Linked DNA regions of Macaca mulatta. The main gene of each other region encodes a partner of the protein of the gene in region 3 in a complex. Links are inferred from orthologs where the notes say so. Each region holds a gene or a part of one and is shown on either strand. Other genes may lie near its edges.

Region 1 (4,382 bases), on a different chromosome or scaffold from region 3:
ATTATCACTTTATCAAATGAATTGCCCCACACTTATTAGCAAACTGTAGGCACCTGTGAAATATTTAAGTGTAGCTCTGTTTCCAGACTAACTTTCTTCCTGAAGTTCACAGCTCAGCTCTAACCCAGCATGAGGCCAGTGGGCCTTGTGGAAGCAGCAGATCAATACAACACATCCAGGAAAAAATCGTATCAAGTCCAGCCGAACATCTGCAACTGTTACTCACTTTAAAACAGCTGGGACATCGACAGGACTCTTAACAAGATAAGGAAGATTCTCCATTATCTGCCATTTCTGCACAGGGAAATTTTTAAATAGTTATATTGTTCTTTATACTAAAATCTTACATTTCAAAAATTTCTGTTGAGTTTCCCCAAAAGAGCTTCCAGAATTAGAAAGTCATATTTTGCCCATATACTAAGAAGAAAATAAAACACGAATAGTCTTTTAATGCATTTCAGGTTTGCACTTATTTTTGGAGACAGGGTCTCACTCCTGTTGCCCAGGCTGGAGTTCAGTGGTATAATCATGGCTCACTGCAGCCTTGACTTCCCGGGCTCAGGTGATTCTCCCACCTCAGCCTCCCAAGTAGCTGGGACTACAGGCATGTGCCACCACGTCTGGCATTTGTACTTTTAGTAGAGAACGGGTTTCACCATATTGTCCAGGCTGGTCTCGAATTCCTGGGCTCAAGTGATCTGCCTACACTAGCCTCCCAACCAAAGTGCTGGGATTACAGATATGAACCACCGTGCCTGGCCTAGGTTTGCGCTTTTAATAATTATACTATAATATTTGCATTAAAAGTTTATTAATAAAGCAATCCAAATTTTTGGACAGAAACAAAAATCAAACTATTTTAAAAGACCAAAAAAAAAAAAAAAATACCCCAAAGTGAGCCCATTTCAACTGTCCTTAAGTGTGTGTCCACTAGTGATACAGTGATTCATTCTGTAATAACAAAGAAATCGGACATAAAGGAATTGGAAAAAAAGAGCAAATCTGGCAAAGACCCTAACACTTACATTAACACATAAAATCTGTTTCCTAGCTAAGAGCATCTTGCTGAGCTCTGCCTGGATGTGATGAGACAAAGGCCCTCACATCGCCAGCCATCCTAGCCTCGAGCTGCCGGCAGCAGGATCTGAACACCAGCTGATGTTTATGCCACCACCTGCAAGGTAGAACAGTGAAAGATTCTAGAACTCGTAACTCAAAGTCAGTGATTTACAAGCAGTGATTTACTTATTGGGAAACTGCTCTTCGTCAATTCTTCGCTGGATTTCCAGTATCTGCCCTTGTCCACTACAAGTCAAGCAATGAAAAGCTGATGTGCTGGCACTGCCTCACTCATCATCTCTAATCCCTGGCTGGCAGAAGCCCCAGTGTGAGAGAACTGCTGCTCTCCTGATTCCCTAGGCAGCTCCTCAAGTCCTCAGTGTCCTGCTGTCCAAGAGGAAGAGGCTGGGAGATGGCTGGTAATAAAGCACTCCGCCTCTGTCCCTGACCCCCATGGAAGGGTTTCTGAGTGTGTGGTTCAAGGTCAGGTCACATCAGAATTCCCTGAGGGGCTTCTTTAAAAAGCCATTGCTGGACTTCACCCCACACCCATAGACTCAGAATCACAGATGCATTTTAGTAAGCACTCCAAGAGATTCTTGTAATAACTAAAATATAACAACAGTTCCTAACATCACACCTCTCCTACTAAATAAGAAATAGCAAGAATTAATAAATGGCAGGCCAGACAGTCTTTCCTTTCCTCAATATAAAATGTCTTTATATCTGTTACTCTTTACTCAAAGGAGTTATTTTAACCCAGCCTACTTTAGCATCTGTGAAAGAAAAGATAGCTTCAATGTTACTTTTACTCTTCATCAAAATGAATAACCGCTCAAATTACTTACGGAAAATTAATATGGCAAATATTTTATTAACACCCTAGTATTTGTGCCCTTTGCCCTATTGCTACAGCTGCAAAACCTAAATAAACGCCATCCTAAAATTGCTGTGAGGAACCACAGAAAAAGAATGAAACCTGGTTATAGTGTCCCACAACTTTTATTGTCAGCAAGTAAGTGCCAAGGCCACTCAATGTACTAATATTAGAAATTCAGAAAACTAGTTCCAACAAAGCATAGTTCTATTTTCTCCCGATGTTTTCTGCATCTTAATCACTCTAAGCTATAAATCACATGACTTACAAAAAGCGCGGTGGAAGAAAACACCAACAGAAAAACAGGATTTCTTATGCTATTAACATGAAAGTTCTGCTTTACACATACAACAAACAAACAGGGCACCAGAAAAGGGCATCCTTTTAAATTAAGGATCTGCGCTCTCAAAACCTGCAAGTGTTACTTTGTTCACTGCACTGTAAGATTGGGAAAAACGCCTTACCAACAGAAATAATGAATTCCTTCGAGGGGAGGGGGATCATAAACCCTTTAAAACGTGAACAACTACAGGAGCTCCCTGCAGAAAAAGGCGCGAAACGCCGGCACAGTCCCCGAGAGCGCTCGCCCGCAGCGCGGGAAGGAATCGCCCGGACAACCGCGCCGCGGCCCCTCCTCGGGGAACGGCTCGCGCCCCCAGGCGAGGCCGGCGGGGCAGAGGCGCGGGGCCGCTGCGGAAGCACAGCCAGCAGGGCGGGAGGGCCCGGCGCGCTACCTTCTCGGCGATGCTGTATAGGACCTCGTCCATCTTCATGCAGGTGGGGTCCCAGTCGTGGCCGAAGCGGATGACGACCACGCGGTCCTCCTCGGAGAGAATGGCCTGGTCCACCTGCCAGCCGTTGTGCAGGTGCGGGAGCATGTACGACATGGCGACCCGCGCGCTCGCCGCCGCCCGAGGCCGGGCGCCAGGGAGGGCCCAGCGAGGTGGTGGGCTCAGCCGGCCCCTCACTCCGCGGCCCCCGCCGCCCCCGGGCCCACAGCCGAAACCCGGTCCCACCCACACCCGCAAGCTCCGCTGGCACTGCCGCCGGGCGGAACCTCTGGGCGCGCACGCACCGACGCCGTGCGTGCTGACGTCATGCGCACGGGCTGGCGCCGTGCGTGCTGACGTCACGCGCGTACAGACGCCGCGCTAGCTTGTCGTTGGCCGGCGGGAGCGGCGGCGACCTGGCCACGGTGGAGCGCGGTTGGTGCCCTCCTAGCCGGCGTCGGAGTGGGGGTTCCTCCCCAGCGTCCAGGCGGCCTGGTGGTCCTGAGAAGCCCCGGGCTCGCCGTGCCCTGCCCCGACGCACCCGCCCCGAGGCCGCCCGCCGCCGCCCGGGCTGTCCTCCAGCCACGGATGGGGACGTCTTCAGAAAGGCCCGGCATGCCCGGCACTGCGGCTCGTTTTTTTCCTTTCTGGTGTCTGTTTCGGGTCATCGTTTGTGCTGTGTGTTAGCGAGACGGTTCGTGTGTGTCATTTGTGAAACTTGACCATAAAAATGTGTCGTTGTTGCCATACCCAGCCACGGCAGAGCCGAGCAGCGGGGTGGGGGGAAGCACTGGGCAGGCCGTCCTTGAGGAATGTCACCGTCAGGCCGGCTGCTGAGCTGCCTGTTGTAACCCGAAACCAGAGTTTTTGTCTTTTTATAAAGAAAAAAAATTTTTTTTGAGACGTTGTCTCGTTCTGTCGCGCAGGCTGGAGTGCAGTGGCGTGATCTCGGCCCACTGCAGCCCCCGCCTCCCGGGTTCAAGCGCTTCTCCTGCCTCAGCCTCCCCGTAAGCTGGGACTACAGGCGCCAGCCCGGCTAGTTTTTTTGTACTTAGTAGAGACGGGGTTTAACCATGTTGGCCAGGCTGGTTTCGAACCCCTGACCTCAAGTGATCCGCCCGCTTCGGCCTCCCAAAGCGCTGAAATTACTGGAGGAAGCCACCGCGCCCGACCTGAAGCCAGTTTTATTGCATAGCTTCAGCATAACTTGCACCTCCAGGACTGATCTGGCTCCCCCGGCTTCGCTCCCCAGACCCTTACTGGTGCCTATGAACTTTCTCCAAGAGAAATAATATTTCTCTTTTTAAAATAAAACCTCTAATCTCTGTTCTTCTGAGAGAGCACTTTGGGTTCATGTTAGAGACTCCCCCTGGTTTGCAAACTGACATTGACAGTAAAACTCTTGTCTACTATCCAGCCATCCTGGTGGTCCTTTGGATGACAAATTGACAACAAATCATGCCCGGGCGCGGTGGCTCAGGCCTGTAATCCCGGCACTTTGGGAAGCCGAGGCCGGTGGATCGCCTGTGGTCGGGAGTTTAAGACCAGTCTGACCAACATGGTGAAACCCCGTCTCTACTAAAAATACAAAAAAATTACCCGGGCGTGGTGCCGCGCGCCTATAATCCCAGCTACTCGGGAGGCTGAGGCAGGAGAATCGCTTGAACCCGGGGGAT
Region 2 (3,600 bases), on a different chromosome or scaffold from region 3:
TCTAACTACTCCCCCTACAATGTACGGCCCTGCCCTGTGTGGATGCTCTCCTTACCACACTTGTGCTCTGACACTCCACTCTGAGCCACCTTGGCCCATCTCTAACCAGAGCACCTTCCCTGCTTTGGCCTACATAACTGGCTTTAGGACTGAACTGCTCATGAAAGGGAAATATATATATACATATATATATATGAGTACATACACATATACACACAGTATTTCACTTAACTTTATTAGAAGAATGTACTTGATAAGAAGTTTGAAAACGATCTGTATGAATAATGCCCAGACCGCTACTTTTAGACTAAAAATGCAAGTGCTGTTGGAAACCTTTGCTTTCTGTTAAGCACTCTGACATGTAAAAAGCAACATGACTTTTCTTTCTTTTAAACTGAAGTTATTCAATTCCTGTACTTGCAACCTAGTAACAAAAAAAAACAGTAACACAAAGCATTCCAACTTCACAAGTAACTGAAAAGTACATTGCAAAAAGCTGTTAAATGATGTCTTAAATATACTGACATTAAAAATAGGAGCTGGTTAAAAAGCAGTCATCTTTAGGTGATGTGACATATTGCTCATTAAAAAAAGTATTAACTTGAGTAACACGGTAAAAATAACTATTCCAAATCATGTTTAATTAAGGCAGAAGAAAAGCAAAAAACCAAAAGAAGGAAGACAGGAAGGACATACACTCTTTTTCTACTCCCTAAATAGTTCCTAGATGTTTATTATAGCAGGCCCTCAATAATAATGTTAACAAAATTCACTCGGGCATTTCCACCTCTTACTATCTTCTGAAATGACAATTAGCAAATCAGCTACTGTTAAGACTCTCCAACTACAGTGACATCTAGGTAAGAGCTCTGGTTTAGAAACCAATCTTAAACCACAGACTCTCCTCCCATGCAACCATCAAGGGGCCCAAGTGATTAGGTATAAGAAAATCACTCAGTAGAAAAACATCTCAGCCAAGTGTCGTGGCTCACACCTGTAATCCCAGCACTTTGGGAGGCCGGGGAGAGGGTGGGGCGGCAGATCACAAGGTGAGGAGTTCGAGACCAGCCTGGCCAATATGGTGAACCCATCCCTACTAAAAATACAAAAATTAGCCGGGCGTGGTGTGGTGCCTGTAGTCCCAGCTACTAGGGAGGCTGAGGAAGGGGAACTGCTTGAACCCGGGAAGCAGAAGTTGCAGTGAGCCGAGATCGCGCCACTGTACTGGTCGACAGAGCAAGACTCCATCTCCAAAGGAAAAAAAAAAAAAAAAAAAAAAAGCAATTTGGCTGGGTGTGGTGGCTTATACCTGTAATCTCAGCACTTTGGGAGACCTAGGCAGGTGATTGCTCTGACTCAGGAGTTCGAGATGAGCCTGGGCAATATGGTGAAACCCTATCTCTACTGAAAATACAAAAATTAGGCAGGTATGGTGGTGCACACCTATAATCCCAGCTACTCAAGAGGCTGAGGCTGGGGAATCACTTGAACCTGGGAGGTAGAGGCTACAGTGAGCCAAGATCGTGCCACTGTACTCCAGCCTGGGCGACAGAGCGAGACCCTGTCTCAAAGAAAAAAAAAAAGCAAATTCATTAATTCATTTAAAAAGCAATAAGTATGGGGCTGCAGCCTCCCAGATGTACTCTTTTGAAGTCCCTCACTGTTTAATAATTAAAATGTCAACCAGAGTCCAAAATTCGTGTCAAAGAAATAATCAAATGGTTGGTACTATGATGTACTGTGTCCTTGTGTGCCTCTGAGATAAGTTATTATTTCTAGGTCTCAGTTTCCTTATTTATAAAATGAGGATGCTCAATGAGATCAGTGGCTCCCAGAATGTCAGACTGGCTACACTGAATCACTTGAAGGACACATTAAAATATCTGATTCCCATTGCAGATCCACTGAACTAGATTCTTTGGGTATTTTTAACAGGTTCTTCAGGTGATGACCATACAAAGAGAGGCTGGAAACCATCTGACTAAATGATGCTTAAGTTCCCATCTTGTGCTATACTAAAACCATTCACTGAACTTTTTATATATTGTCTGTAATCTCACAACAGCCTTTTTTTTTTTTCTTTTTTTGCTGCCTCCCTGTTGGTGGGGATACTCACAACAGCCTTGAAAAGACACGCATATTACTGTCGCTGTTCTTTTTTTTTTGAGACGGAGTCTCGCTCTGTCGCTCACGCTGGAATGCAGTGGTGCAATCTCGGCTCACTGCAAGTTCGGCCTCCGGGGTTCACACCATTCTCCTGCCTCAGTCTTCCGAGTAGCTGGGACTACAGGCGCCCGCCATCGCGCCTGGCTTATTTTTTGTATTTTTAGTAGAGACGGGGTTTCACCATGTTAGCCAGGATGGTCTCGACCTCCTGACCTCATGATTCGCTTGCCTCGGCCTCCCGAAGTGCTGGGATTACAGGTGTGAGACACCGCGCCAGGCCTATTTCGAGTAACAATTTATTCTATGGGTCTATTATTATTCTGTAGGGTAATTAAAACACGTATTAAATGTTTTATTTTAAATGGGGAAAAATTTCAAGTGTCTGTTATGGGAAATGACTGCTAAAATTAAGTTTTGCAGAGGAAGGTAGAGTATAAGTGGAAAGGCAAGATAAGGTTCACACTACATCACCTCAGAAACTGGAACACAGACAGACAATACCCACCTTAACTGTGCCATCGTCACTGCCAGTGCAGACAAGCTGAGGGCCTCTCCTGGCTGGATAACAGGAATTCACAAAGGAGGTATGTCCCTTTAGCCTTTTAACCCTCTCGCCTGTTTCACTATCCCACACAGCCACAGTTTTATCTGTGGATGCTGAGAAGAGCATACTAGAAAGTAAGAGAAAGAACACAAAAGAAGTGAAGATAAACAGTAACAATCTATCTTTCCTACTTGCCAAAAGGTGCCAAATTTTTCAAGATTTGCCAGTTTGCCCATGATGCTGAAATGCCTCACTCTACCAAAATCCTATTTGTGCTTCAGGTCCAGATATAAGATCTGACCCTGTGAAGTTTAAAAAAGGGGGACCCTTCTTTGAGTCCCCATGACATACATCTAATGTAGCAGTTCGCTCTGTCTTTTCCACTTTTGTGATAGGTAACATTTTAAACACAAGACACCCTCTCACTTGGAAATGTTTAATAACTCCCTGGTGCTGCAGAGATCAGAGAGACTGTGGTACTCTGGACCCGACAGCTGAGTTACTCCAATCTTCTCTCTTTACCAAACTTTTTCTTTTGTCTCTGAGGACAATTTCTTTCTTTCTTTTTTTTTTTATTTTGAGATGAGATCTTGCTCTGTCACCCAGGCTGGAATCATGGCTCACTGTAGCCTCGACCTCCTGGGCTCAAGTGATCCTCCCAATTCAGCCTCCTGAGTAGCTGAGACCACAGGTCGGTGCCACTATGCCCAGCTAATTTTTAAAAATCATTTGTAGAGGCAAGGTCTCACTATGTTGCCCAGGCTGGTCTTCAACTGGGCTCAAGCAATCTTCCTGTCTCAGCCTCCTACAGTGATAGGGTTACAGGCGTAAGCAACCACGCCCAGCCTCTGAGGATGATTTCTAAGTTATAACTGATCTTATAATGCTTT
Region 3 (4,321 bases):
AAAAGCAAAAACTTGCAAGGAAACATTACAATCCAAGTAACTGCAGCACTAGACTAACAGATCAGTGTCTGAGGAGGCGATCAGACACGGAGAAGAACAGCTCTCCAAGTCCTCCCTTCTGACACAGTGGAGTGCCTCGCTGTCTTGTGAAGGCTTCATACCAATCCCTCCTTCCTGAGCAGCAGGCGCTACTTCTCTCCCTCTCTCCCAAAGGCGAAGTGAGTCCACTCAGAGCACCTCTTTCCACTCTCGGTCATGGTCCTTATCAGGCTGCTTTGTAATTTTTCCATTTGCTGACAGGTCTCCCATGGTGAGTTTTAAGCTCCTTGGGGACAGGGGAAATATCCTACTCACTTGGTATCCCTGGTACCTAAGCACACTGCCCAAGTCTGTGGAAGAGACATTCAAGGCCAGTGCCAAGCAAAATCCCTGTCCAGCCCCCACCAACCCAAACTATGGATACAGTGACTAGTAGGATCATGCACGTACTTCAACAAATACTAACCAAGTAATCTCTATTAGGACCACCAAAGACGGAGAAAACAACCCTTTCTGTCATTCAAGAACCAGCTGTTTCCAAATCTAGAGATGCTTGTTAAAATGCAGATTCCTGAAGTCTACTCAGGTAAAAGCACTGTATTTTACATTTTATGAAGTTCTCCAGATAATTTATTTAAGCAAATGGTTCTCAACTAGGGGCAGTTTCCCCAACCCCACCCCACCCTGCTCAGGGACATTTGGAAGTATCTGGGGACACTGAACTGTCAAGACTGAGGAAGGTGGTGCTACTGCTATACTAGTGGGTAGAGACCAGGGATGTTGCTAAACATTTTACAACAGGACCGCCCTCCACAACAAAGGACTGTCCAGCCCAAAATGTCAATGGAAGCTGAGAATCTCCGCTATAAGCCCTAAAAAAAAAAACCACCAACAACATTGTTCTTTGGTTTTAAAGTGAGGAGTTTTAAAGAAATCTCCAAAGTACAGCAAATGATAACCAAAAGCTACATTCTAACCAAATGATGGAGTGTAGATTATAATTAATCAGGGATGTTTTATTCTAACATAAAGGGAACCTGAAAACAACTGTCAAAATCTTGAAGGGGTTGCCATTCTAAATAATGGATTTCTAGTCTTAGCCATGAAAATAATCACTTTCCAATTTCTCAGTGTTACAGGTCCCTCCGATCATTAATCTGTTAGTACACTTTTAAAAGGAGAGAATAATCCAGGTGATGTAAACAAATTTTTAAATTCTAATATCTACTATGCCACAGTTCAGTGAGAGACTGCCTGATGCAGCACAGGGTACTCACTTGGGAGGCAGGAAACCTGAGTTCTAATCCCAGCTCTGCTACTTAATTAGCTGTGTGACTTGGATAACTCATCATTTCACTTCTCATGGCCCCAGGTTCCTCATCTGCAAAATAAGGGAGTTATGCCAGATGACCACTTAAGTCTCTTCCTGCCCTAACATTCAGGTAGTAACGCATTAACTCCAGTGACACACACACACACACACACACACCCACAAACATAAGCCTCTCAAGATTTCTGTACAATATTCAAGCAAGTAAAATTGCCAAACACCTGAAAAACTTTTTTGGAAAACACTGCAGCAATGTGTACGAAGGCCTAAAAAAGGCCTTACAGATGAAAGCATCTAATCTGATAATTTCACTTCTGAGAATCTAGTCCAAGGAAATAATCTAAAAAATAGGGGGGAAAAGGTTTATCAAAGTATTATCTGGGGTGCTAAGAGATTCAAAAATTCAAAAACAATCTATAATATCCCACAATCGGGAAATGACTGAATAATTTATGGGACCTACATTGCGATCCACAATGAGGGACAGTCAATCAAAAGAAGATACAAAACTAGAATAATATTTAGGAAGAGTTTTTAAATGGAAGTGGTAAACTATACTGTTAAGTGATTAAACATGTACACTCCTAGCTCAAGTAGAAGCTAGCATACACAGGAGAAAAAGATTGTAGGTGAAAGGGTTGTGAATACTATTTCTTCACTAAAGTCTTCCATGTTTGCAATTTTCTACAATAGTCACATATTACTAAGAGCAGTGGGGTAGGGTAATCCGCTTCATCCTAATGCTACACATCTTAAAAACGCCTGCTATGCACGCGCGCGGACACGCGAACGCACAGAAAACCTCGGGCAATAGGACTTAAGACCATACAATTGGGTTCCTAGGCCTGACAACTCAGTAAGACAGGCGAGTCGAGTCCTTAATTCCTGTGGTCAGGCGCAGCCACCCCGATGTAGGGAAGGGTTAGCAATTCCCTGAAGCCCTGGAAGACTGGCGAAGCCTAGGCCTGGGTTCGGGATCCGCTTTCCCGCCGAATCCTGGGATTAGCCTCGGGGCTCCCTGGGGAACTTCAACAACCTCAACTGGTCTCGGACGCCAACTCGGTGGGAGCCGGGACGGTGCCGCTACTCTCTGCGCAGTCTAAGCACCTCGCTGAGGGCGGTCCCGGCGCCCACTATCAGACCTCTCCGGCCATTCCGTGAGCGGAGAGCTTGGACGCGGCATTTCGCGGAAAGCTGCCACTCAGCGGCCCCTTCCCGGAGCCCCAGCCCGTTCCCCTCAGGCCCTTTCCGGGGCTGCCTCGCCCGGCCTAGGGCCGCTGCAGCCGCCGCTCCACAGCGCGACTGAACACTGGGGCGTCGAACCCGGGGCTACGCCCGGCCCCGTCATCGGCCCGCGCAGCCGTGCGGCTCACCTCGCGGGCGGGATCCAGAACCCTCACTCCAGGCGCCCCACGAGTCCGGCCTCCGCGGATGATCGCAGCCAAAAGCGAAACCGCCGAGGCAGCGGCACTTTTCTGCCTCGGCCAATCACTGCTCTTCTCTGCTACGGCAGCCCGCTGGGGCCGAAAAGCCTGTCAGCGCCGAAGCGCGCAAATCCGAGAATCCTGTTTTGTCTAGTAGCAAAATTGGTGCACTGGAGTTCCTCTGACAGAAATCTGAATACAAAACAAATATAATATAAAACAAAAACAAAAATCCAGGAAACTAGAAGTGATCTTTTGTCCAGGATTTATTTGCAGAAGTGTAAAAAATAACTTGAAGTCATAGGAAACTGGAATTTACTGTTTAAGTAACGGCACTGTGTACCCAGAAACGTCCTTGAATAGTTTAAAGCAAATAAATAAATAAAACACCTCAAGTCTTTAAATCTACCTCTGGATATTTATTAAATGTGTGAAGACTTAAGCCATTTTAGCAAGAGACTGTTTCCATGGCAATGTTGATTAAAAAATAATTAAAATCACTCAAGTAACTCCGAATTATAATGACATTAATTGTGTTACATTAAAAACTTGTTCCAATTGGAAATGGTGTGCAGACATTATTTAAGTGCTACTATGGGAACTTGGTTTGGAATTTTGCATGAATTCTCAACACTCTTTCTATTAATGGGATTGGAAGGGGGAAAAAAGAGAACTGTTACCCCAAGACTTGATTCCTTTACTCTCATCAGCTGAAAACTTACTTTAATTTTATTTATGGTTTGTAACGCTACACACAAAGCAATAAGATCTTCCAACACAGATCCTTAACCCCATTAGGTGTTATAAAATCTAAGATGCAGAATTTTTTTCTGAGATAAAGAATTCCTCCCTTGTAACCTTCTTTTGGCTAAAGGCAGAAGAAATGAACTTTTGATTGATATCAGGGACAGAAAACAAGTGGATGTGATTTGGTAAAGAATAGAGACTTCCTTATATCCTTCTATAAAAGCTCAGTTTGGGTAAAGACCAAACAGTTACTGATTTATTGAGAGGACTGTATTTGAAGTTCTTGCAATATAAAATATAATATAAATAAAAATTTTAAGAAAAGTACTGTTTAAATCAAATAATTACTTGCAAAGTACAAACATAACAGGATAAAAAGGCCTGTTCCTAAAAACTTTCTTTGCAAGACATCAAATTGCACATTCCTTACTGGTTGTTTAAATTATTAAAAAAAAAATAAAATAAAATTTTGATTCAAACTTCTTTCCCTTTCCTACAGAGCCCTAATTGAGCTGTTAACACTAGCGTGGTGGGTAGGGAGCCATGAGGAGTTTTAAGGGCCTAGTTCATCTGCAGAGCAGCTGCAGCCTTCTCCAAGGGCAGTAGCTGGGTAAGGGCCCAGTTTGACACACGGGGTGGGCATCCTGAATTATTTCATGAGCTAACAAGTTTATAAAAACTGTAGCTGTTCCCAAAAGCCCCTCAGCAGCTTATAAATGACTTTTACTAACTCAGGCAATTTTCCATATTTCCCAGGGTTTTGCTTTCAGCATCTTTTATG
Region 4 (3,600 bases), on a different chromosome or scaffold from region 3:
AAGGTCAGGAGTTCAAGACCAGCCTGGCCAAATGGTGAAACCCCATCTCCACTAAAAATACAAAAATTAGCCGGGTATGGTGACGGGCACCTGTAATCCCATAATCCCAGCTATTTGGGAGGCTACAGCAGAGAACTGCTTGAACCCAGGAGGCGGAGGTTGCAGTGAGCCAATATCACACCACTGCACTCCAGCCTGGGCTACAGAGCGAGACTGTCTCAAAAAAAAAAAAAAAAAAAAAGAAAAGCTCCCAAGGTGAGTCCAATGTGTAGCTAAAATTGAGAACCACTGCCTTAAACTAACTACTGACAGCACTATTACTTGCAAAATCCCAAAGCCAAGGCCAAGCAAGGACAAACTGAAGGGAGCTGCCCTCTGAGACGCCAAAGAAACACCTGTTTTTGCCACTCTGTGCCATGAGACTAGGTCAGCAGCCACTCACATGATGAAGCACATGGATCCGGTAGGAGCCCTCGGAGGGCTTGCCATCATGCACGATGTTGGCAATGAGGTCATAGGTGGTATTCTTGTGTACTGCTTGTACTTCTTCAGACAAGTATTCTCTGAGATCCACATTGCTGTTAATGGTGAAAATAAAGCCGGAATAATCAGACAAAGGCTGTGCAGCTAAGGAAGCTGTCCTACACAAACAGACCACAAAGGCTCTCGGTAGGCCTGCAGAGTCAAGAAGGTCCAGTTGTGTTGGAATTCACAAAATATGCCAAAATGAATGACAGGGTTACACAGCTTCCCACATGACTAAAAAAATAAATAAATAAATAAATGACAGGAAGTGGCTTATACCTATAATCCCAACACTTTGAGAGGTCAAGGTAGGAGGACTGCTTGAGCCCAGGAGTTCAAGACCAGCCTGGGCAATGTAGTGCGACCCCTACAAAAAAAAAAAAAAATCAGCCAGACATGGTGGTACATGCCTGTGGTCCTAGCTACTCAGGAGGCTGAGGTGAGAGGATCACTTGAGTCCAGGAGATTACGGCTAAAGTGAGCCAGGACCACACTATTGCACTCCAGCCATGGCGACAGTGAGACCCTGTCTCACAAAACCCCCAAAAAGAAGAACTTTCAAACAGTTAAAAAGGAAAACATATAGACAGTTAACAAGATTATTAAGAGACTATTTTAAACACATAATTTTAGGAAAATATATCATTTTGGAGCCTACAAATATTTATAAAAACTTAAACAATACAAAGTAAAATTAAAAAGATATTACATCATAAAAGTTGTTTGATGTGCTACAACTCATTACATGAAACAAAACCATGTTATTACTGAAGAGTTCACAAGAAACAGCTAATGGTGGTCACGTCCAGTTATAGATCTCCCTTTGAAGTCAGACTGTGAATCTACTAACTTTTCAAATTACAGAGTTTAAAATGTAAACCATGTGGTAATAAACAAACATACAACTTTGTTGTAATTATTATATGTAGCTTCCTATGTATTGGTGACAGCTATTTGTTTCTACAGACTGACAGTGTCCCATATATGATGCAGTCAGACTGCAATAAACATTTACCGTTAAGAAAATAGAGGCCAGGTGCAGTGGCTCATGCCTGTAATCCCAACACTTTGGGAGGCCAAGGCGGGCAGACTGCCTGAGCTTAGGAGTTCGAAACCAGCCTGGGCAACATGGTGAAACCCTGCCTCTACTAAAGTACAAAAAAAAAATTAGCTGGGTGTGGCGGCATGCACCTGTAGTCCCACCCACTCAGGAGGCTGAGGCAGGAGAATTGCTTGAACCTGGGAGGCAGAGGTTGCAGTGAAGCGAGATCACGCCACTGCACTCCAGCCTGGGCAATAGAGCGAGACTCCATCTCCAAAAAAAAAAAATGGGAGGTATGAGTCCTCAGTCCATGTGAGCTCTAGATAGCCAACCTGCCTTCCTGCTGCCAAAAACTGACTTCTCATTTTCTCTTCAGCTTGAAAAAAAGCTGACTAGACTTGTCTAAATGAGTATCAGAGAAGTCTTTTTTTTTTTTTTTTTGAGACAGAGTCTCACTCTGTCGCCCAGGCTGGAGTGCAATGGTGCTATCTCGGCTCACTGCAAGCGCCATCTCCTGGGTTCTCGCCATTCTCCTGCCTCAGCCACCCCAGTACCTGGGACTACAGGTGCCCACCACCACGCCTGGCTACTTTTTGTATTTTTAGTAGAGACGGGGTTTCACTGTGTTAGCCAGGATGGTCTCGATCTCCTGACTTCATGATCCACCCACCTCGGCCTCCCAAAGTGCTGGGATTACAGGCGTGAGCCACCCGCCCAGCCCGGAGAAGTCTTTATACTCAAGATTTCATGACTGAACCAAAACTGTCCATGTGGCAAAAGAGAAATACTACGTTTAATCATTTTGTTTTAGTAAACAGGAAAAGGAGCAAACTATTCATTTTTTTTTTTTTTTAGTAGAGACGAGATCTTGCTATATTGTCCAGGCTGGTCTCAAACTCTTGAGCTCAAGCAAACCTCCCACCTCGGCCTCCCAAAGTGGTGACATTACAGATGTGAGCCACTGCACCCAGCCTGAAAGAGCAAACTATACTCATCTCCCAGCCACAGCAACAGACCAGTTAAGAGAATGGCTAATTACCTGAAAGTGAAACTTTAAACCTGCCCTCAAAAATCTGTCTCCAAATAAGCAGAGGGTGCCTAATCACTGTAAGTCTGATAACTCTGACAAAAATAGGATGTGTTATGAATAAATCACAGGAGAAGACAGGTATGAAAAGGATCCTTTTCAAGAAGTATGGACGATGAAATGATCCAGAATCGTATTACTCGAAGTAATTACAGCACATAAAATATTTAAAAGTGCAAGTTTCCAAAATTAGTCACAATTTGATGTTCTCTAAAAGACTGCCTAGTTAAGAACCAAGTCTTCTCTTAACTTCTCTGAAGTAAGCTTTCTGAAGGACAAACTTTTATACTGGGCCTACTCTAGGCCCATAAAAGAAAACAATGGGACAAGGAAATTTCTGTGGCAACTGAGCAGGAAGTATCATTGATACACAGTCTTCCTCCCTCTGGAGCTGCCCTTGGAATCAAGACTGCCCCTACCTACCAGGAACAGACAGATGACTGGTAATTCACAAGAGGCTAGTGCTGAAATAAAACCCTGATGCACAGACTTTCAAAGAAAGCAGCTCTGCCATCCTACTCAAGGAGGCAGAGAACAAACCTCCATGTCTCCCTATTTAATTCAACTGTCTCACAAACAAGATGTTAGTGGAGAAAAGTGGGGGAAAAGAGAAAAGAGAAAATTCCCCTGTAATTCTCAACGGCAAATGTTCTCTCTCCTCACCCTCCATGGTTCTAAGAGTCCTAGCAATACTATAACAAGATGTTACACCTGGACAAACCCCGAGGGCTCAGGCCCATCTACTCCAAGCTGCTCATTTTATCTTTGAGAGAACATACCCAGAAAACATGCAAACTATGGGTCTGAGGGCCCACCACTAAGGCAGCCTAAAACTCGGGCCTCTTAATTTTAGATACTACCTTCTTAAACGCTACGTAGAATTTAAAACTGACACTACTTCTTTCTTTCTTTCTTTTTTTTTTGAGCACAGTCACACTCTATCACC
Region 5 (4,305 bases), on a different chromosome or scaffold from region 3:
CCTGATACACCCACCCTCCTGATACACCCCCCCTCCTGATACACCCCACCCTCCTGATACACCCCACCCTCCTGATGCACCCACCCTCCTGATACACCCCACCCTCCTGATGCACCCACCCTCCTGATGCACCCACCCTCCTGATGCACCCACCCTCCTGATGCACCCCACCCTCCTGATGCACCCCACCCTCCTGATGCACCCACCCTCCTGATGCACCCACCCTCCTGATGCACCCACCCTCCTGATGCACCCACCCTCCTGATGCACCCACCCTCCTGATGCACCCACCCTCCTGATGCACCCGGCTCCTGCTGTCTCAGGGGTTGGCCTGGGGTTCCACAAGCCCCTCATCGGACTGAGGCTCCTGACTCGCCTGTCCCGGCCTTGCCTGTACCTGCCTTGGTCACCTGTGAACCCTCACCCCCAGGAAGGACCATGGCTGGTATTTGATGAGCTCCAGGGTCTGAGTCCAATCTCCAAGAATACAGGTTTCCTCAGAAGGTCAAGGGAAAAGCAAGATTCTGGGGCTCAAACACAATGAGGTTTGCAGTTTTATTAAGAAAACAAAAATTCAACCTATACAAAAAGGAAAGCACTTCCGTTCCAGCAGGTGGCACCGTGGTGGGAACGGCGGCCAAGTCTGTGGGGAACCAAGCTGCTCCGGCCTGTCCTGCAGCCCTGGCCCGGCTACGCGTCCTGCTGCTGGATGAAGGGGTTGGGGATGGCCTCCATGCCGTCCTGCGGGCAGATCAGCACCACAGACGTGCCCCGGCACACCACGAGGCCTAGCTGCCGGGTGTCCTCCGTGAGCTTGTACTGGTCGTCAGGGTCTGGGAAGGAGCAGACAGAGAGGGCTGAGGGAGCTCCAGGAGGCCTCTGAGAATTCCCACCGACACAAGACCCTCGCTCCGCCCTCCCCACCTGCACCCTGCGGGTGCCATGAGCATGTGGGGACCCCAGAGGGGGTGCACTCTGCGGGGCAGGTCCCCGGCTCCCATGGCTCAGACCCACAGCCCCTAGAGACCAGCGACAGCTCCACAGACAGCAGCCACAGCCTGCCCTCACTCCACAAACCACAGGAACAGGGAGGCCTGAGCGACAGCCGGCTACCCTGGGTCTTGGAGCTCACTGGAGCCCAGGCACCAGGGCTGGGGACCAGGTTATCAGATGGCCAGCCAGAATACAGGCACCCCGGGCCTCCTGGTCTCTGCAGGGTTCCTGGAACCCTAGGGGGCCAATTTTCACCCTATAAGAGGCTGGGGCCTGGGTGCGGTGGCTCACGCCTGTAATCCCAGCACTTTGGGAGGCCGAGGCGGGTAGGTCACGAGGTCAGGAGATTCAAGACCATCCTGGCTAACACGGTGAAACCCCATCTCTACTAAAAATACAAAAAAATTGGCCGGGCGCAGTGGCTCAAGCCTGTAATCCCAGCACTTTGGGAGGCCGAGACGGGCGGATCACGAGGTCAGGAGATTGAGACCATCCTGGCTAACACGGTGAAACCCCATCTCTACTAAAAAATACAAAAAAACACCCAGGCGAGGTGGCGGGAGCCTGTAGTCCCAGTTACTCGGGAGGCTGAGGCAGGAGAATGGTGTAAACCCAGGAGGCGGAGCTTGCAGTGAGCTGAGATCCGGCCACTGCACTCCAGCCTGGGCGACAGAGCTAGACTCCGTCTCAGAAAGAAAAAAAAAAAAAAAGCGGCTGGGCTGGGTGCAGTGGCTCACGCCTATAATCCCAGCACTTTGAGAGGCTGAGGTGGGCAGATCACGAGGTCAAGAAATTGAGACCATCCTGGCCAACATGGTGAAACTTGGCCTCTACTAAAAATACAACAAATTAGCTGAGTGTGGTGGCAGGCGCCTGTAGTCCATCTACTCGGGAGGCTGAGGCAGGAGAATCGCTTGAACCCGGGAGGCGGAGATTACAGTGAGCTGAGATGGCGCCACTGCACTCCAGCCTGGTGACAGTGAGATACTGTCTCAAAAAAAAAAAAAAAAAAAAAAGAGGCTGTTCATGTGGGTGGGACCCACGTGGGGATCATGTGGGCTGGCACCCCAGGGAAGTACCAGCAAGCCCAAGACAAGCTCTGAAGAGGCTGACGGCAATGAAAACTCCTCACTACTGTGGTCGTGTGCTGGTGGGGGCATGGGAGAACCACGGGGCCCAGGTTTTTAACATTTTTGTTTTAGAGACCAGGTCTTGCTCTGTCCCTCAGGCTGGAGTGCAGTAGCGTCATCCCAGCTCACAGCCCCAACCTCCTGGGCTCAAGCAATCCTCCTGCCTTCGCCTCCCGAGTAGCTGGGGCCATAGGCACATGCACCGTCATGCCTGGCTAATTCATTTTTTTTTTGTTTTTTTGTAGAGACAGGGTCCCAGTATGTTGCCCAGGTTGGTCTCAAATTCCTGGGCTCAAGTGATCCTCCTGTCCCGGCCTCCCAAAGTGCAGGGATTACAGGCATGAGCCACCGTGGCCAGCTCCAAGAATAAATCTTGTGTCAGTATCAATGGGTCCGAGGGGTAAGACTGTCTCTTTCTAAGTCCTGGCCTCCCCCCGATGCCTGGGCCGGGCTGGGGACTTGCAGCAGGATCTTCTAGCGGGGAGAGTCTGAGGACCTGGCGGCCTCACTGGGGAGGAGAGCGAGCAGGGGCAGGGAAATGAGGGAGTGTTCTCTGGGGAGGGGATGGGGGCCCTGCGTTCATAGTGGGGATTAACAAGGCAGAAGAGGAGAGGGGCCCGAGAGGGGTCCCACAGCACGCTCGCTCTCCCACAGCAAGGCTGCTCTCGGCTGGGTGCCACAGCTCACACCTGGAACCCCAGCACTTTGGGAGGCTGAAGCAGGGGGATGGCGTGAGCCCAGGAGTTTGAGACCAGCCTGGGCAACACAGTGAGACCTCAGCTTATCTCTTTTTTTTGGAGACGGAGTCTTACTCTGTTTCTCAGGCTGGAGTGCAGTTGCACCATCTTGGCTCACTGCAGCTTCCGCCTCCCGGGTTCAAGCGATTCTCCTGCCTCAGCCTCCCGAGCAGCTGGGATTACAGGTGTGAGCCACCGTGCCCGGCCCCTCGCGACACCAGTTTAACAAAAACTGAAATAATACAACATTTAAAAAGCCTGTCCTCTAACTGTGCTGCGAGCATTTTAAGTGCCCTGTCAGTATGTAGAGACCAGTGGGGAAGCTTCCCCGTCTCTCCAGGCCCCACAACAATGGAGTTTCCAGCTTTGTGAGGACGTCCAGGACCGGTGAGCGCTCAGCCCGTCCATCGGCCAACACAAGGCTTCACGTTGGTGCCTCAGAGTGAGGTTTTGTGGGTTTCAGGGAGGAAGAGGCAGCAGGCAGCTCCATGGCCGCCTCCCTTGCCCTGCTGCCCCCTCACCCCACTGCCCTCCTCATCCCGCTGCCCGCCTCAGCCACCGCCCCACTCACCTCGCATGTACTCAATGGTGCCGTCCAGCACAAGGTTGAGGAGTGGGTCGAAGCCCTTCAGGATTCCACTGGCTTGGAGAAATCACCGGGGGAGAGAAATGAGAAGGCATGAGATCCATCTTGGGTACACGGCCTGCCCCAGCGTGGCCCAGGCATGGGGCTCACTGCTTCAGGGATGGAGGACTGAGGGTGGGGGAGGGCTCCCGGGAGGGGCTGGTGACAGGCGCCTCCAGAGTGACCCCCACCATGGGCAGCCGACTGTGTCTGCGGGGGGCTAGAGGACAAACACTTCTGGCCGTGTGGGCCACAGGGTGCCGGTCACAGCTGCTGGCTCGGGCTGCCTGGGTGGAAGCAGCTTCGGTGATGAGTCCACGTGTGGCTGAACCGTGGCCAGTCAGCTCGACACACAGGCACTGAAACGGGAATTTCGTATCACTTCCACATCATGAGACAGTCTTCTTTTGATCCCTTTCCAGATATTTAAAAGTCATAAAAACAATTCTCCGCTCCAAAACAGTAGCAAAACAGGCCGCGGCACATGCATGCGGTGGAACCACCAGCCGGGAAGAGGAGCGAGGCTGGCGCAGGCCGCGGTGCGGATGTGCCTGAGGACGCGCCTGAGGACGCCACGCTCGGTGAGAGACGCCAGCCACAGAAGGCCGCGCAGCGTGTGATCCCGTTTCTATGAAAGGTCCAGGACAGGCCAATCCACAGAGACAGGGAGGGGATGTGTGGGTGCCGGAGAGGCGACAGGCAGTGACAGCTGATGGGGACAGGGCTTCCTCTAGGGGAGACGGAGTGCTCTGCTGGGACAGCGGTGGTGACTGCGCTGCCTGACCCGTGCTGGGTCCCTCAGTGAGTTCACGGAATACAG
Region 6 (4,055 bases), on a different chromosome or scaffold from region 3:
CATAGATCATCTACAGGGTATTCTTAAAAAGTCCAATTTCTGGCTCAAAAAGGCTGAGATTTGGACCATGGAAGTTAATGCCTCAATCAAAGTGCTAAAGTCTGTTATCTACAGTCAGTTGTACCTAGCCACTTCCAAGAACTTCCCCATCACCATTCTCTCCAACACCCCCATCAAACCTGGCTATTGTTCTCAAGCCTTAAGACTGGGTCTCTGTAGTAAAAACAGCAATTGCAACGATAATAAAAACTAAAACTACAGGTCTTTGATAGAAAAGGAATAGTACTTACATTAACAAAATCTCCACCCTGAATCATGAAATCCTTTATGACCCTGAAACAGAGAGCAAAGAATACTGAGAGAAGATTTTATGGAGACTTTGTTATTATTGTATTAGATTAACATTGATTTCAAAATACACTATAACTTTGGCTATTATAAAATCACCATTCTTAGCTGGGTGCGGTGACTCACGCCTGTAATCCCAGCAGTTTGGGAGGCCGAGGCAGGCAGATCACATGAGGCCAGGAGTTTGAGACCAGCCTGGCCAACATGGCAAAACCCCATCTCTACTAAAAATACAAAAATTAGCCAGTCGTGGTGGCACATGCCTGTATTCCCGGCTACTTGGGAGGCTGAGGCAAAAGAATTGCTTGAACCCAGAAGGCGGAGGTTGCAGTGAGCCAAGATCATGCCACTGCACTCTAGCCTGGGTGACAGAGCGGGACTCTGTCTCAAAAAAAAACCAAAAACCAAAAACCAAAACAACAAAAAAAGAAGATTATTCTTTTCCTGGAATGATTAAGCTGAAAGGATAATTAACCATAAAAAAGGATTTTAGTTATAAATTAGGGCATGTTAGAGTTGATCAAGTGCATGATCTGGTACCTGAACAGTAACAAGAAGAAGGGGCTGAAAGCCTGCAGGAAGAATGACCACATTACTTGCCAAAGCAAAAGGCAGATCAAGGATTTGATGTAAATTTGGGGCAAAGAACTACAGAGAATTTATGTGAAAGGTACTGCTACACATGTAAGGGCTTAACAATTGTTAGCTATTACCCCTAGGGAGGGTCCTTAACCTTTGTTATCCTCAGTTTCCTCCTCTGTAGAATGCAGATCACACATACCACTTCACAGGAGTCTTACTGGGGATTAGAGACCCACAGTTCTAAAGCTGTGATATAATTATGTGCTAACATTGTTACTAACCACAGTGAGGCCATGAGAAAGATTCTATATTGAAATGAGACTAAGTGTTGCCATACTCCACTCCCCAGGAAATATGATTATCCTTGGACAATCATATATGATCATTTTAGGAATTAGTTATAAATAGCAACCAGCAGGATATATTATATGCACTTTAGGATTACAAGTGTACTTCTTTAAAAATCTGCATTTGCACAAACAAGTGCATGAAAAAGACAGGATATTGTAAAGATGAGTAGTTTCTGTTTTAAAGACATAAGAAGTGGGAGAGTATAAGTAGAGTTAGAATATTTAATAAATCTTCAGTTATTGAGTCCACAAAAACATTTCTTCTTAAGAAATGTAAGAATTACCTCTGGTTTTATTTTCCTCTAAAGAGCCTAATCCCCCAGGAAATATTTCTGAAAGACTCTAGGATGGCTTGCCAAAAGCCTTACCTGTGGAAGGTGCTTCCTTTGTATCCTATTGGAACCCCATCTTTTCTATAACAAAAAGAAAGAGACTTGGAGTGATAGCAGGTAGCACAAGGCCTTTCCAGTTTACCATGCACTGGAGCCAAAAGGACTCTCCTAAAGATGGTTGACAGACATAAAGAAGGCAAATAAACTAGGGACAGACCCTTGGGGCATTACCTTCTATCACTGTCACCAGCAATCATTCAAGGCCAGCAGCTGGTTCACCGATACCCTCACCGCAGCCCCAGAACACCCTTCTGGAGCAGGCAAAGAAGTCAAACACATCTGAAACTGACCTGAATTCTCCGGTGCAGAACTGCCTGAAAGGGACAAAAAGTGAACAATTCAATCACTATGACATCACAGTCGTGACCGCCTCTAAAGACGGGAAAGAATAAACAATGGAGCCAGCAAGTCCACCAATCGGCCAGCCAGACGTCCAAACACGGAGACGTACAGACTAACAACGTAAATTAACACGGGAACAATCCAAACGGCAACCAGACAGAGCAATGCACGGAGGAATCAGGTCTCAAGAGCAGTGAGCGGACGGACAGAGGTAGACAGGCTATTCAGGCGGCTGACTAGAGCCCGACTTCTGCCTCAGCTAATCCAGCGGAACTGGAGCACGTCCTTACCTAAAGTTCTCGGCCGTCTTAGGCACAACGTCTGCAAAGAGCTCGATCTTCATGCGGCCAACTTCCTGCAATCAGCGGGAGACTGTCAGAAGGCCCAGTCCAAGACCATGAGGGCTTCACGGAGCTGGGGGCAGGATGGGCTGACCCACCACCCTGCCGCTCGGTATCACCCACCTCCGCCTCTCTGGTCTAACCGCCCAGTTCCTCCAGAAGCGGGGCGCTAGGATTGGGGAGACTTCTCCTCATTTCTCCCCGCCCTGCAGGTCGGTAGGTTCGGGTGCAATTTCGCTTTCTGGCTGGCTTCCCGAGTCCGCTCTCTCTGGGTGAGTTCTGCCTGCCTAGCTAGCCCCGAGCAGTTTCCCTTCGGCGCAGGTGTGGGTAGCGTCCTGGATCTCACCTGACCGCCAATGCTGACATCAAAGAACACCACGGGGTTAACAGGACTTGAATTTGCCACCGCCATGGCTCCGACCCGGAAGCAGAAGTCGGGAGCGTGGGATTCCGGCGAACCTAAAGCCCTGTCCGCGGGTTTCGTCCGGGGAGCAGGCGCGGTGGACGCCGAGAGAGACCGGGCCCCGCCCCCGGAAGCTGTCGCCCCGTGCCGTGTGTGCTGAGGCTGCTGGGGTCTAGCTGGGAGACTCTCCCTGAGACGGGGGACGCGGGAGTGAGGAGGAGGAAAGCCTTGACATCTTTTTGGTTAAGGTCGATGGTCACCCCACTCACGTGGCTGTACTAAGGGCAGTACAAGTTGATCTTGCTCTAGCTAGGGCTTTTGGACTAGGCAGTCGCCAGGGTCCTCCTTATCGGCTCTTGCAACCAAGCCCTCTACACCGCCACACGTGCTGTGTCTGTCTTCTGCCCGCTAGTCTGTGAACACCGTGAAGGCAGGATCTCTGGTTTGTTCATCCTCAGCGTTTAGAACAGCTTGGCACGTAAAGGCTTGCTAAGTAAATATTTGTCCCTTCCTCTAAGTCAGGACAATAGATTATGTTTCCGTTCTGCCACAAGCTCCCAGTTTGGTCATTTCCAATTCGTTTCCCACAGAGTAACTAGAGTTTTTTATTTTTTATTTTTAAAATACCTCTTGTGATTCCTATTTATTTTTAAAATAACTCCTGGCTTCCTATATTTAGAATAAAATCCAATTCTGTACATAGGAAGCCCTCCAGTGCATTAATCTGGCTATTACCTACCTGACCTCATCTTGTACCACTTGCCCTTAGTTACTGTGCTCTGACCTGTCTGCTCCTCCAGGTCACTGAGATCCCTCCTTTCTTTAAGGCCTTGTAATAGCTGTTTCTTCTGTCTGAAATATTCCTTCCAGATCTTAATGTGGGTTGGCGGGGTGATGGTGGGGTTTGGTTGGGCTATGTGTGTGGGAAGTAATGCTCCTTGTAGTTCAGGGCTCACCCCAGATGTTACCTCCTCAGAGGCAACATTAGACCTAATCTAAAGTAGCCCTTGGTCACTCAGATCACTGGTTTGTTTTCTTCATGCCACCCCCCATTTCACATTTGTATGGTATGTGTCTGCACCTCATTTCCTGCCACACACACATACATCTTCCTCCCTAATAGCATATAAACTCCATGAAAGTAGAGACTCTCTCAGTCCTGTTCGCAGCTGTAGCTGCAATGTCTCCTACTGAATAGCACATAGTAGGTAAATATAATAGATTCAATGAATTTAGTGAAAGAAGGGGAACTTGGGCAAGACTCATTAGCTATAACAGCATGCATTTAATATAATAG
Region 7 (4,322 bases), on a different chromosome or scaffold from region 3:
TCCTTCAAAATACCTTTTCACTCTGGACAGGTTTTACATTTCAAGGGAGTGGGGGTGGGAAGGAATCTGATTTCAAGGTAACTTGATAAATTTACTCACATGTAATCTGCCTCGAAGCTCTCGGTCATTTCTCATCTTCACATAAATTCGCTCATCTAGGCTGAGCCTGATAAGATCCAGGGGCTCCTCTACAGTGTTGGTAGTTTGTTGCTGATAACAGAAACAGGTTTAGTAATATAGTACTAGAGATAAAGTAGTGCTTAAATCACTGCTATGCTGTATGACCATGTGCAAGTTATTTAACCTTTTTCTGCCTCAGTCTCCTAATCTGTAAAATGGAGATAATAGTGTCTACCTAATACTGTTTTTATGAGGCTTAAGTGACATATATGAAGGCTTAGAACAGAACTTTTCACATAGTATGTGCTATATAAATGTAGATTAAAACACGCATACATAAGAAGGAGTTACACAGCAAAATAATCATGACTATACTTTGTTCCCTCAAAATCCAAACTGCCTGACCCGATTTCAGGGTATAGGGTCTTAGGAACTTTAGCTTTATCTCAAATATTATGTAATCATAGGAAAAACACTCACTTAATGCCTACCATATACTAGTCAGAATGCCAAGTAGAGGTGTAGGTTTATGGGAAGATTATGAATTCAGCACAGGTTGAGGTTAGGCTGCCAACTGGCCAGTAAGATGAATATTTAGTAGCCAGAATAGAACACTGGTTCAAAGCACTGGCTTAGCCGGGCATGGTGGCATGTGCCTGTAGTCCCAGCTACTCCGAGGCTGAGGTGGGAGGATTGCCTGAGCCTGGGAGGTGGAGGTTGCAGTGAGCCAAGATGGTGCCAACAAGCAAGCAAGCACTGACTTTGGAGTCAGGCAGTCTGGGTTCAACTCCTGGCTGTGACCTGACACTTATGAACTGAGATTAAAAATCATGCCATCTGTAATTCTCAGATTCTTCATTTGTAATTGAGAAAGCCACAACCTTCCTTCTGGATTCTTATGAGGATGAAACTAGTTAATGCATTTAAAACAGTGCCAGGAAAGCAGAAAATATTAATACTTAGAAACGGTTCCTTTTGGCTGGGCGTGGTGGCTCAGGCCTGAATTCCAGCACTTTGGGAGGCTGAGAAAGGCAGATCACCTGAGGTTAGGAGTTTGAGACCAGCCTGGCCAACATGGTGAACCCCGTCTCTACTAAAAATACAAAAATTAGCCAGGCGTGCTGGCACGTGCCTGTAGTCCCAGCTACTTGGGAGGCTGAGACAGGAGAATCGCTTGAACCAGGAGGCAGAGGTTGCAGTGAACTGAGATCACGCCACTGCACTCCAGCCTGGGCGATAGAGTGAGACTCCATCCAAAAAAAAAAAAAGAAAAGAAAAGATTCCTACTAATATTATATTATTAAAGAACTGCTGGAAACACTGGTTTTAGAGGTCAGGGCTAGGATGACTTGGGGTCACCCACATGGAAGGGAGGGTTGCAGCCATTAAAGAGTTAGATGATTCAAGGAGAGCTTCTTTAGTAAGTACACAAGGCCAGTGGAGGAAGGTAACTGAATTCGTAACAGGCGCTAAAGATTCAAAAGGCCCGATGAGAGAAAAAAAAATAACCTAACTCAACTGGTCCCTATGTCCCTCAGTTCAACAGGTGTTTGTTAAAGGATCAGATAACCAACTGTTAGATTACAATGATACAGAAGTCACAATCTCCACCCTCAAGGAGCTCATTCTAATGTGGATAGGCATATGAATAATTATAATACTGTAAGAATATGCACATGACAGAGCTCTACTGCTACCTAAGCCTCTGTCTGGGATGCCCACTTTCTGTTCTTTTTCATCCTGTAGCTTTATACATTGGCTTTTAAAAGAGGCCTCCTCTGATCATCTAACTCATTCACTCAAATATTTGTTGAGTATTTCCAGCACTGTTCTAAACCCCAAGGACAAAAGAATGAACAAAACAAAATGCCTACTGTTATGGCACTTACATTCTAGTCAGGAGAGATACACATTAAACAAAGATGCATACATTTAATATGAAAAAATAACGTTCTATGAAGAAAAATGAGGCAGGGTAAGCAGAGTAGGGGGAGTGCTATTTGGGCAGAAGTCCTCTCTGAGGAGGTGAGATTTCAGTAGAAAGTTTAAGTTGTAGCATGATCTCCAAAGATATTTGAGGAAGAAAAAGACCAGGTGAAAAAGCTTCTAGGACCATCTGTTATTCTGCATACCAGTTCCTTGTTTCCTTCATAGCACATCACAGTTCCTATAAATCTTACATATTTATATTTATCTGTTCTCCTCGCGAATATAAGCTCCAAGTCATGGCAAGGATCACTTATATATCGATGTCAGTGTCCCTGGCTCTTAGAACAGTGTCTAACCATACAAAGCTGATGTTCACTCTCTCTGCTGAATGAGTAAATAATTGTTGTGCTCAGTAATAACAACTCCTAACTTTATTATCTGGCTTTCTATTGGAATCCTGACAGCTCCGTGAGGTAGGCACGCATAATAATTTACAGATTTAAAAAAACAAAGCGAAGAGTGTGATGAATAGTCATCAGGTGGCCTTCTAACGGAAAAGACCTCAGGGCCTGCAGCAAAATTCGGACAGGGGTGTTTACGGAAAGGATGGGGCGGATTAGGCCGTGTGACTTGGAAAGAAGAGGCGCGACTGGCCATTTTTCCTGCGTTTGGAAAAAGCAGTTTAGTACAAGAAGCGGCGCCGAGCCACCGCCTTAAAATTCACTCACCTGGTCTACGTCGTCCGCCATGTTTCAAACCCTGCGCCCTTTCCCGCCTCTCGCGAGAACACAAGAGCAACGCCGAGCTCCGGAAACGTGATGCTACAATACACCGGAAATAGAAACCTGCTGTGCTCTTGCCTGCTTCCCGCGGTTTTTTAGTGGCCACGGGTATGGGGCGGAGCTTCCTTTGGGGGCGTGACTAGGCCTCCAACGAAGGGGCGTGGCCAGACGCGCCCGCCTCGGGGCGGGGCCTGCGTTCTAACGCATCGCGGCCTGGTGCGTCACTCGCGAAGTGGATTTTTCCCCGACAAGCAATATGGCTCGGAAGCGCGCGGCCGGCGGGGAGCCGCGGGGACGCGAAACGCGCAGCCAGAAGTCCAAGGCCAAGAGCAAGACCCGGCGTGAGGAGGAGGAGGGTGAGAGCGTGGCCCAGCGGGCTTCGCGGGAGACTCTGCCGGTGGGCGGAGGAGGCCCAGAGGCAGGGGCGGCGGGAGTCCAGACGCGGAGGCCGGGAGGAGGTTGCTGCGCGCGTTCCGCGCAGTGGGGGCAGCACGGCAGGCCGCGGCCGGCCCTCCCCGCTGTCCCTGCGCCTTTGTCCTCTGCACCCAGAGCGGCTTCCCGTGAGCCTCGCCCGACCCAAGCTCCTGCGTAGCTTCTTTCCCGCTCCCCGTTGTCCAGAGGATACAGCGCAGATGTTCAGGGTTGAACGCGGAGAAGGCAGTTATTTGTGTCCCAGGAAAACGGACGGACGGACCAGGACGTAGAGTGATGCAGTGTGCTGACTCCCGAATGATAACTTCAGCTGAGTCTCGCCCAGAGTTCCACAGTGGGATCCCACCTGACTTCCCCTCGTGGATATTGGATAGGCTTCTTACATTTGTCGTGGACAGTGCAGAGCTCATGGTCTTCCCCTTCAAATCTATGCTTTCCTCCGTTTTTCCAGTCCCAATACTTGTTATAAAACAAAGTCCACCTTTTTCTTATGTGCACACATCCAGTCCCGTCAGCAAGTCCAGTCAGTTCAGCCTCAGACTGTATTTCAAATTTGTCCACTTCTCTTCATTTCCATGGCCACAACCCCTGTCCAAGTCACCATCACCTTTCAGTTGAGTGACTGCAGTTTCCTCTTGACTGGCCTCCCAGCTCTGCATCCAGCAACGCAAATAATCTTTAAAAAAAAAAAAAAAAATCATGCCATGCTCCTGCTTTAAACTCTCCTTGGTTTTCCATTGCTCTTAGTTTAAAATCCAGTTGTCTTATCCTGGCCTGCAAGATGCTACGTGTTTTGGCTCTTGCTACCTCTCCTGTTTCTCCTACCACTTGTTTCCTTGCCAGATACCCTCCTCATTGGCCTCCTTTCTCTTCCTCAAATATGCCAAGTTATTTCTTGAGCCTTTTCCTTTGATATTCCTTCGGCCTAGAGTGACCCCCCACCATGGCTTTTGCCAGGTATGATTTCTTCAAATCTCAAGTCAGACATTCCTTGAGCAAACTAAGGTAGTCCTTCCCAGATACCCCGTGGATACTAAAACCTGTGATGCTCAAGTACCT

Evidence for each region.
Region 1: LSM6 (region 3) and TXNL4A share a complex: the UniProt entries of both Homo sapiens proteins name them as parts of the precatalytic spliceosome. The link is inferred for Macaca mulatta from reciprocal best matches to the Homo sapiens genes LSM6 and TXNL4A.
Region 2: LSM6 (region 3) and SNRNP40 share a complex: the UniProt entries of both Homo sapiens proteins name them as parts of the U4/U6-U5 tri-snRNP complex. The link is inferred for Macaca mulatta from reciprocal best matches to the Homo sapiens genes LSM6 and SNRNP40.
Region 4: LSM6 (region 3) and USP39 share a complex: the UniProt entries of both Homo sapiens proteins name them as parts of the U4/U6-U5 tri-snRNP complex. The link is inferred for Macaca mulatta from reciprocal best matches to the Homo sapiens genes LSM6 and USP39.
Region 5: LSM6 (region 3) and LSM7 share a complex: the UniProt entries of both Homo sapiens proteins name them as parts of the precatalytic spliceosome. The link is inferred for Macaca mulatta from reciprocal best matches to the Homo sapiens genes LSM6 and LSM7.
Region 6: LSM6 (region 3) and PPIH share a complex: the UniProt entries of both Homo sapiens proteins name them as parts of the U4/U6-U5 tri-snRNP complex. The link is inferred for Macaca mulatta from reciprocal best matches to the Homo sapiens genes LSM6 and PPIH.
Region 7: LSM6 (region 3) and LSM3 share a complex: the UniProt entries of both Homo sapiens proteins name them as parts of the precatalytic spliceosome. The link is inferred for Macaca mulatta from reciprocal best matches to the Homo sapiens genes LSM6 and LSM3.

Annotation. Positions count from the first base shown.
Region 1 is NC_133423.1:1,023,789-1,028,170, reverse strand, and holds the start of TXNL4A (thioredoxin-like protein 4A), read right to left. Parts: upstream 2,878-4,382; 5' UTR 2,824-2,877; coding exon 2,671-2,823; intron 1,175-2,670; exon of another isoform or gene 1,062-1,174; coding exon of another isoform or gene 1,026-1,061; intron 1-1,025. UniProt on the Homo sapiens protein: Plays a role in pre-mRNA splicing as component of the U5 snRNP and U4/U6-U5 tri-snRNP complexes that are involved in spliceosome assembly, and as component of the precatalytic spliceosome (spliceosome B complex).
Region 2 is NC_133406.1:209,573,200-209,576,799, reverse strand, and holds part of SNRNP40 (U5 small nuclear ribonucleoprotein 40 kDa protein), read right to left. Parts: intron 2,838-3,600; coding exon 2,672-2,837; intron 1-2,671. UniProt on the Homo sapiens protein: Required for pre-mRNA splicing as component of the activated spliceosome. Component of the U5 small nuclear ribonucleoprotein (snRNP) complex and the U4/U6-U5 tri-snRNP complex, building blocks of the spliceosome.
Region 3 is NC_133410.1:154,723,620-154,727,940, reverse strand, and holds the start of LSM6 (U6 snRNA-associated Sm-like protein LSm6), read right to left. Parts: upstream 2,803-4,321; 5' UTR 2,743-2,802; intron 1,421-2,742; exon of another isoform or gene 1,317-1,420; intron 1-1,316. UniProt on the Homo sapiens protein: Plays a role in pre-mRNA splicing as component of the U4/U6-U5 tri-snRNP complex that is involved in spliceosome assembly, and as component of the precatalytic spliceosome (spliceosome B complex).
Region 4 is NC_133418.1:38,747,972-38,751,571, forward strand, and holds part of USP39 (ubiquitin carboxyl-terminal hydrolase 39), read right to left. Parts: intron 579-3,600; coding exon 443-578; intron 1-442.
Region 5 is NC_133424.1:3,071,113-3,075,417, forward strand, and holds the end of LSM7 (U6 snRNA-associated Sm-like protein LSm7), read right to left. Parts: intron 4,067-4,305; exon of another isoform or gene 3,908-4,066; intron 3,504-3,907; coding exon 3,432-3,503; intron 834-3,431; coding exon 691-833; 3' UTR 542-690; downstream 1-541. UniProt on the Homo sapiens protein: Plays a role in pre-mRNA splicing as component of the U4/U6-U5 tri-snRNP complex that is involved in spliceosome assembly, and as component of the precatalytic spliceosome (spliceosome B complex).
Region 6 is NC_133406.1:198,100,197-198,104,251, forward strand, and holds the start of PPIH (peptidyl-prolyl cis-trans isomerase H), read right to left. Parts: upstream 2,809-4,055; 5' UTR 2,768-2,808; coding exon 2,702-2,767; intron 2,370-2,701; coding exon 2,305-2,369; intron 1,987-2,304; coding exon 1,963-1,986; exon of another isoform or gene 1,870-1,962; coding exon of another isoform or gene 1,844-1,869; intron 1,694-1,843; coding exon 1,649-1,693; intron 334-1,648; coding exon 291-333; intron 1-290. UniProt on the Homo sapiens protein: PPIase that catalyzes the cis-trans isomerization of proline imidic peptide bonds in oligopeptides and may therefore assist protein folding. Participates in pre-mRNA splicing.
Region 7 is NC_133407.1:152,980,384-152,984,705, reverse strand, and holds the start of LSM3 (U6 snRNA-associated Sm-like protein LSm3), read right to left. Parts: upstream 2,852-4,322; 5' UTR 2,799-2,851; coding exon 2,778-2,798; intron 211-2,777; coding exon 100-210; intron 1-99. Other genes in the region: XPC (DNA repair protein complementing XP-C cells), read left to right, coding at 3,088-3,187. UniProt on the Homo sapiens protein: Plays a role in pre-mRNA splicing as component of the U4/U6-U5 tri-snRNP complex that is involved in spliceosome assembly, and as component of the precatalytic spliceosome (spliceosome B complex).